Linked DNA regions of Ovis aries. The protein of the gene in region 2 binds, or shares a complex with, the protein of the main gene of each other region. Links are inferred from orthologs where the notes say so. Each region holds a gene or a part of one and is shown on either strand. Other genes may lie near its edges. The genes, in order: DFFA and DFFB.

Region 1 (4,476 bases), about 6.2 Mb from region 2:
GTATGGCCGGTGAGGATGATGGTAATGATAGTGACAGGGAGTATTGATTTATCTGACTGTATGCCAGATAAGATCTAAATGCTTTCTATCAGTGGCTCTTTCCTGGGAGTGATTCTGCTCACCACACACCTGTAGACATGTGACAATATCTAGAGGCATTTTGGGTTGTCACAGTTAAGGTGAGGAGATGCTACTGGTACCTAGTGGGTAAAGGCCAGCAATGCTGCTAAGTATCCTACAATGCACAGGACAGCAACCCCCCAACAAAGAATTTCCTGGCCCAACATGTCACCAGCATTGTTGAGAAGCCCTGGCTTGCTTGATACGTACTACGTTCTCACATCCTTACAACCCACGGAGACAGGTACGATAACTACTATCTCAATAAGGGGTTGAGAAGTTAGATAATTTGCTCAGGGTCACATGACTAGTAAATGGCAGAGCTGGGATTCGGACCAGGTAGTCTGACCCTAACCTGTGGCCCAGATCTCTCTGCCCTGCTGTGTTATAGTTGCTGTGGGTCCATGAGTCACTTGAGACCTGACCCCATCTCATTCATCTTCATCCCCCGACTCAGCGTCAATCTGGCATACAGAAGGCACTCAGTAATGCTTGCTGCGTATATGCTGAAACAGCCAGCCAAACAGCAATCAGGTGCCACGTGTAGTAAAGCAAATCACGATGGAGGGTATACTATATATACGCCCAGTATTTCTTACCTGAATTGTGTGTCCACTTCTCATTCCCAGCCAATACCACAAACTTAGTATTGGCAGGAAGACACAGGAAGTAATCATCATCATCCACTATGGTGCCATCCTCTGCCAGGACCAGGGTTATTGGTGCCAGGGACTTATCAATGGCCAGAATGTCACAAGCTGAGAGGAATAAAATATTTGGCAATTGACAAATATCCATAGGGAAACTATATCTGTCTTTGTACTCAGTATGTATGCCCCCAGAGCCTAGAAAAATCTCTAGTAGCTAATAATAACTATAATGATGACCACTAATACTAATATAACATTTACCATGTGCCTGGTACTATACTAAGTGCTTTTCATATAGACTACTTAATCTCATAACAATCCTGTGGTAGATACTATTGTTACTCCCATTTTTACAGATGTCAAACCCAACGCTTAGAGAGGTTAACTAACTTGCTCAAGGTCACACAGTAAGTAACTGGCATTTAAACCCACACAGTCTGGCTCTTGAAAACGTTTTTTTCTCCAGCTACTCAATACCCTCATTAGGAGGAACTCAACTCTTTCCTTGGATGAACAACGAACAAAAGTCTGATTTGATTCTTTGAGAATAAACGTCTTTCGTTCATTTTCTCAGTGGTCTAAATGACTCAAGTTCTCCTATGTGTCCAGAGAAAAAGAAAAGTTTAAAAAAGAAAAAAATACTTTATGTTCTTGCAGTATCTTTACAGTCTTACTAACCTATAGGAAAGTGTAAAGGAAGCAGAAGACAGAAGATTGTAACAGGAACTTTTCATCTGTATGATCAATGGTCAAGAGGTTTTGTCCAGGGCAGGTCTGTACTTGCCTAATGATGGCAATGCCTAAAATGCTAATGGGACTAGAGCACACAGAAAAGTAGCCGAGAGACTACAAATGTCATCGGGCAATATCGTCTTGCACCCTGCAAACCCTGCATAGGCCGAGCTCCAGAAACACAAGCACTTACAGGGGCCTCTGTGCCAAGTGCATCCAGCCACTGCACTAAAGGGGCACTAAAACTTAAGAACCCTCATGCCAAGAAAAATTATGTAAACACTTATATGGCAAAAGCCATCTCACTGAAGCATTTAGAGTGCTTTGGCTGTTTCTGTGTCTCTGAAAGACTTCTATCAGATACCGGCTCGGCTGAGTGACTCTGGGAGGAAGCTCTGAACAGGCATACATACACCTTCACTACCTGCCTAGGGATGACTCACAGGTTTAACCTAAAGAACTTCTTTCGGTAAACAGTTTATTGCTACAGGCTAATAATTTGTAAGTCATTTGAATATATTATCTCCTTGGAGAGTCCCAACAATTCAGTGAAGCAGGGCTGGAAATATAGCCACTTTGCTGATGAGAAAATTGGGGATCAACAGATGGTTACCTGCAAGGTCAGGCAACTAGTAACAGTAGGAGGCTCAGAACTTTTGAAAGCTAGGTCACTCACAGCAGCTGTTCCTTGTCTGGACCTCTGGGACGGTAAGTAGCGGCTCCCTCTTTACCTCACAGGTACCTGCTAGAGCTGACGGTGGAAACCCATCCCCACCTCGCCGTAGGCTCACCTGAGGGCCCCAGTACCACCTCAGGGAGCCCGAGTGGCAGGACTACACCAGGCTGGGTTCGATCCACAATCTGAGTCACCGGAGGCAAGACACCGAAGTAGAGTCTGTTTTAAATCATTTGCATATTGCTTCCCGTCTGCCTTTCCACATATGAATCGCACATAAAGTAAATTAAGTTAAAACGCTTGGCACAAACGCGGTGAAACTGATAAGTCGCTATACCCACGTGAGTCATATCTGTCCCAAGGGTCCTCCACTTCAGTTACAAGAAGCCCCAAGTCGCCTTTCTTGATCTCGGTTAGCCCCGCCGGACATCCTCACCCTGCCCTTGGCTCCCTTCAGCCTGGGCTCCAGCTCCCCAAGCCCTCGCCCCGGTCCCGTGCCTACCCTTGTTCCTCAGCTCCTTGAGGCAAGAGGCCGCCACGCCGTGCTGCTCCCGGCTTTTGTTGCGGCGCAGCAAACACTGCTTTAGAGCCCGGATCTCGCCGGGTTCCGGAGCTGCAGGGCCGCTGGCCACCTCCATCCTCTTCAGGATGGGACCAGACCGACTAGAAGTCAGGGAGACTGAGGCGCGGGAGTCCTCCCAAATTCCATCCCCCACGACATGCCGGGAAATGTAGTTCTCTCCGTAGCAAATCACGCGTGAGACCAAGGCACGCCGGGAGATGGAGTTCTAGGTGCTCCTAATCACCTGAGGCTAACGGGGGCATGCCGGGAGCTGTAGTCTGTGGGTTCAAAGCCGACTTAGGTCGCGCAATTCAGTCCAGGAGGTGTTTTTGTTTTCCTACCTTATATTAAGGAGTTGCATTTGCGCGTTCAAAATGAGGTCAGTAGGGGTTAATTTTGCAGTATGATGGACACGCGTGTATATTTCCTTGAACTCTTTCCTCCAGTATGTTGTTTAGTTGCTAAATCGTGTGCCACTCTTTTGGGAACCCCTCGACTGTGGCCCTCCAGGCTCCTCTGTCCATGGGATTTCCCAGGCAAGAATACTGGAGTGAGTTGCCATTTCCTTTCCCAGGGGATCTTCCCCCACCCAGAGATCGAACTAGGGTCTCCTGCATTGCAGACGGATTCTTTACCGCTGAGCCACCGGGGTCTCAAAGAGACACGACTGAGCGAATGAACTGAACTAAGCCGACTGGGAAGCCTCTTTTGCATATATAGATGCATGATATTAATACTTAAAACAGTGTCATTTTACTTTGTACTGTTTTTCCTTTCCAACCTGAAAAGATCTATAAAATGTCCCAAGCTTCACGCTGATCTGAAGGAAATCAGTTTTAAAAATTGACGAGTATAGTTTTCAATCTTGCTGAAGAGCTAACAGAGAAGCATAAAATACTCCCACATTTCCACGCATTCAGTTCTCTGCTTCAGATCTGTAAATTGGGTTGGGACTTCGGAATAAAATGCTTAGATATTAGGTTAAACATTATAATTTCAAATCAGAGAGAAAAGGGGAAATCTCATCACTGTTGAGATTGTCCAGATGCTGCTTGACAACATATTTGTCTTAATACTGCTACTTAGGGAAAAGTCTGTGTTTTTCACCCCTGAAAAACCAACACTTAAGATTAAAATAATACAAAAAGTTTCCTGGCTTAAAAGGGGGGCATTTTATATAAACAAGAAATAATTTGTTATTCCTGTTATTCCTGGCCTGCTGCAGTCCGTGGGGTCGCAAAGAATCGGACACAATTGAGCGACTGAACTGAACTGAAGGAATAATTATCAGACTGTATTAATTCAGGGTCAATCCCTTTCATATTTTATTAAAGGAAATCAGATTTATCTCATAAGAAAAATACATTTAAAACAGTGTTTGGTAGGAAGAATTGTTAACTGAGGCAATGCTTTTGAATATGCCATCACTGATCAAACACAACTGTGATATGAACTGACATATTTCTAATGTATACAGCTCTTTCGTGTGTGTAATGTCACAATTGGCTTAAAGTCGAACAACTCAACCACTATAAAGTAATAAAGGTTCGTAGAAGCCTTCAGTTCAGTTCAGTCGCTCAGTCGTTTCCAACTCTGCGACCCCATGAATCCTTACCTCTCCCAAAAGCACTCGCCTTCTGAGTTCTAATAGACCTGCAGACAGTTATCAGACTCCTATCTCCAAGATGTTTTAATTATGTGAGTGTGTGTGTGTGGGTGTATTTGGCCTGGACTTG
Region 2 (3,809 bases):
GAATGACAGCAGGACAGCAGACAGGTCATCACAGAATGGGGCTGGCACCCAGCGGGGTCTGTGGATGATGCCCCGGAGACACCCACCAGCCAGCCTGGGAAGAGCACTTCACCAGCAGAAGGAGCCTGAGGGTGGCTATGGTCAGCAGGGGTGGAAGCAGGGACGAGGGGGAGCGGGGTCAGGCCCCAGGGCCTCAGATACCCCAGCCCTGAGGTTTCCTCTGTGCTCTTAACAGAACACATGTGGGCAGTTCTGCACCATGAATGATAAACTCTAGTCCAGGACACACAGCCGGGAGCAAGGTCAAGGTGTGGGGGTGGCGGATCGTCTGCAAAGAATGGAACATGACACCTCCTGGCTGACATCCGACCATGAGGTATAGGAGCAACGGCAGGGGCCTCCCAGGGCGAGCAACTCAGTGCTGGCTCACGTTCACCTGCACCCACACCCGCACCAGCCCTCACTCCTCTGACATCCACACCAGTCCTGGGAGCCAAGTCCCAGAGGCAGAGCCGGCTTCCTAAACCTGGCCAGCACACCAGGACCTACTTCTCTCAGATAGCTCCGGATCCGGCTCTCGCAGCTGTATCTCAGATAGCCAGACTTGCTCCTAAAACGGGACTCCAAGCCTGCCGGAAGGAGAGACAAGACGCCTGGAGCCTGGGGCTGTGATCTCCTGGGAGGGGCGGACAGGAGGGCTCTTGACTCGGCTCCATCTAGAAACGTTCTGACGGGAACCTGCTCCTTCTGCAAAGGAAGTCATCTCTGGTCCACAAGCACAGAGCACCTCAAATGCCACCGGGGAGCCGCTTTCCCAAGGGGGCTGCTCCACCTGGCTCAGAAGACCAGTCCAAAAGGTGAGATAGGTCCAGGTGACTAGATGAAGAAGATATGGTCCACCCATGAGATGAAATATCATTCAGCCTTAAAGAGGAAGGGAGTCCTGACACCTGTCTCCACACGATGAACCACGAAGAGGTTATGCTGAGTGAAGAAGGAAGATGCATGAGCTCACTCATACGAGATCCCTGAGGAGTCATATTCCAGGGACAGGAAGATGGGGGACCAGGGGCAGGGGAGAGGTGGGGAGTGATGCCCACTGGGGACAGAGCCTTAGTTTGGGAGGATGAAAACCTCTGAGAACAGGTGGTAGGGCTGCTGCACAACACTGGGACTATATTCAATACCAGCAAAGAACTACATGCCCCCCAAAATGGTGAAGATGGTGAATTTTACTTCATCACGATTGAAAAATAATAAAATGGCCAACTCCAGGGCTGCCTGGACCCTGGCCCTGTGCTTGGGAAACCCCTGGATCTGGGAAATGACGGAGACCCCAGGTCTCAGAGAGTCAGTCCCAGGGAAGCCCTCCGCACCCGCTCCCTCCAGGCCAGAATCCATGAGGTACCTTCAAACCACAGCGGGTCCTCGGCCCTGGTCTCGGCCGCGATGTTCTCGCTGACGGTGCCCAGCAGGTCGGCCAGCAGCTTCTGCCGCAGTGGGGACCGCTCATCCGAGAGCAGCTGCCGGGCGGCCTGGATGACACCTGCGTGCGGCTCCTGGAACACGCTCAGGAAGCGGCTGATGTCACTCACGACTGCCATCGAAGAGGACAAACACAGAGGCCACCAGGCCTTGGAGCACGGCCTCTGGGAAATCGCCTCCTTCCCCTGCCCCGACAGCCACCAGCCCAGTGCTCCTGGTCCCCCACATTTAAGGTGGCAGTGGGGAGGACAGATGGGGAGAACACGGGAAATGAAACACACCAAAGAGAGTTGCTGCCCTTCCCCGTCAGCCTCGCCTCCTCCAAGTGAAACCACCTGGTCTTGGGCCCTCACTCGAGACCTCAGGCTCCAGCTCATCCCTTCACTATCTGGCTGACTCCCCACCTTTCCACACGCACCCCAAAGCAGCCACCCCTCCAGGTAAGCGTGAGAAACTAAGGGCTTCGTCCTATAAGCAGACATCCAGACCCACACGAGGAACGGGCCCCACAGTGGCTTGGGTCATTTCAGGGACTTGCGGCTGCTTGGAATTCAAACATCAGTGCGATCCACTCTCCACAGGCTAAGCAATAAAAGCCATGTCATCATAGCAACTGGTGCAGAAAGACAGAGAAAATCTTCAAGACCTAGAGCTTGTCGAAGAAGTCTCAGACTGAACCGCAAAAGTATATGTACAGAAACATAAAGGGGCTTCCCTGATGGCTCAGTGATAAAAAATCAACCTGCAATACAGCAGATGCAGGTTCAATCCCTGGGTTGGGAAGATCCTCTGAAGAAGGAAATGGCAACACACTCCAGTATTCTTGCCTGGAAAAGTCCATGGACAGAGGAGCCTGGTGGGCTATATAGAGCTGGACATGCCTTAGTGACTAAAATAAGAACAAAGAAAGATAAAAAGAGACAAGAAGGACTTCATCAAAAGTAAAAATTTCTACTCCATGTATAAGACCTGGTTAAGAAAACAAAAAAAGATGAGCTACAGAGAAACTATCTGCCAACCACACATCTGACAAAGACTCACGTCCAGAATGGACCAGGCGAACCCGCGAGACTCAAGCAGGAAAAATACCCAACTACACAGTGGACAAAAGATGCTTCGCAAGAAGGTTTACAGATGGTAAATCGGCCCAGAAGATGGCCAACACCATCAGCTGGGAGGGACATGAGAATCCAGACACCACCACATGCTTGCCGGAGTGGCTAAAGCAGAAACAGCGACAAGGCCAAGAGCTGGTGAGGCCACAGGCGCCTGCTCCTGTCCTTGCTGTGGAAATAAGCCAGGACTGCAGCTCTGGAAAGCAGCGTGGGGCTGCTTCTTTTTCTTGGTAACAACGTTATTCAGATTTAATTCTCTAGAGGGATAAGGCCCGACAGAGGAAGGATGCTCGCCACACCATACATGTCACCTTCACTGCTGCCAGCAGAGTCCCAACCAAGGGCCGAGGCCACATCCACATTCCTGTCAGCCTCTCTCTCTCCCCATCCTTTCAGCAGAGGGGGCAGGACAATCTCAGTCCTTGGAGCTCCACTGCCTTCCCATAGCACCTGAATCGGAAGCCCCTTTCTACAGGAGCCAGACGACCCTCCTAGGGGACATGCCTGGCCAGTGGCTTATGGCTCCAGTAGCACTTGTCACCCAGCAAAGATTCCACTAAAGACCCACCTCCAAGGGCACTGGCTCCAATAAGGCAGTGCCAACAGGAACCTGAGGATGGATGGGTGTCCACAAACCCAACAGAGATCAGACACTAAGCGTAGAGTCAGTCACCTGCCTGTCCCTTAGAAAACAGATTAAGGAAATGTTTACCGACAAAGACACAGGGAGTCGTTTGGACGTCTACATAAGTTAACTTGAATTTATGCTGACTAGGACAGCCTGTCTGTGGTAGATCATACATACGGTGTGCATCTGCCTTAATTATTAAAGAAAAGGTGCACTGACCAGAAGTAAAGAATGTCCATGTTAAAAGTAAAGATTGGGGAATTCCCTAAAGATCCCATGGTTAGGACTCAGATCTCACTACCAAGGACCGTGGTTCAATCCCTGGTTGGGAAACTAAGATCCCACAAGCTGTGCAATGCAGCAAAATAAGTAAATAAAGTTTAAATGCCCCTGTTCCTGGGACGCCAGTGATGGTTACTCCTTCGATGGGCAAGACTTTGCCGGTGCCAAGGCCATGCTGACGCTCTGTGCACATGCTGATCTGCTGTTTCTGAACCCTTAAAGGAAGGCATCCCTGACTTGTTTAACAGTCTTTGTCCTGAAGACACAAAACTGTGCTGAAAACCCTGCTTCTCCGGAGC

Evidence for each region.
Region 1: the proteins of DFFB (region 2) and DFFA are in contact, whole or in part, in an NMR structure (PDB 1F2R), measured with the Mus musculus proteins. The link is inferred for Ovis aries from reciprocal best matches to the Homo sapiens genes DFFB and DFFA. Residues at the interface, in NP_031885.3 of Mus musculus: Cys10, Lys12, Arg14, Ala19, Cys20, Lys21, Phe22, Gly23, Val24, Ala25, Ala26, Arg39; in NP_001020467.1 of Mus musculus: Asp66, Thr68, Ile69, Val70, Asp71, Asp72, Asp74, Tyr75, Trp94, Tyr96, Asp100.

The regions. Positions count from the first base shown.
Region 1 is NC_056065.1:42,364,758-42,369,233, reverse strand, and holds the start of DFFA (DNA fragmentation factor subunit alpha), read right to left. Parts: upstream 2,903-4,476; 5' UTR 2,817-2,902; coding exon 2,681-2,816; intron 879-2,680; coding exon 720-878; intron 1-719. UniProt on the Homo sapiens protein: Inhibitor of the caspase-activated DNase (DFF40).
Region 2 is NC_056065.1:48,614,867-48,618,675, forward strand, and holds part of DFFB (DNA fragmentation factor subunit beta), read right to left. Parts: intron 1,598-3,809; coding exon 1,409-1,597; intron 630-1,408; coding exon 550-629; intron 1-549. UniProt on the Homo sapiens protein: Nuclease that induces DNA fragmentation and chromatin condensation during apoptosis. Degrades naked DNA and induces apoptotic morphology.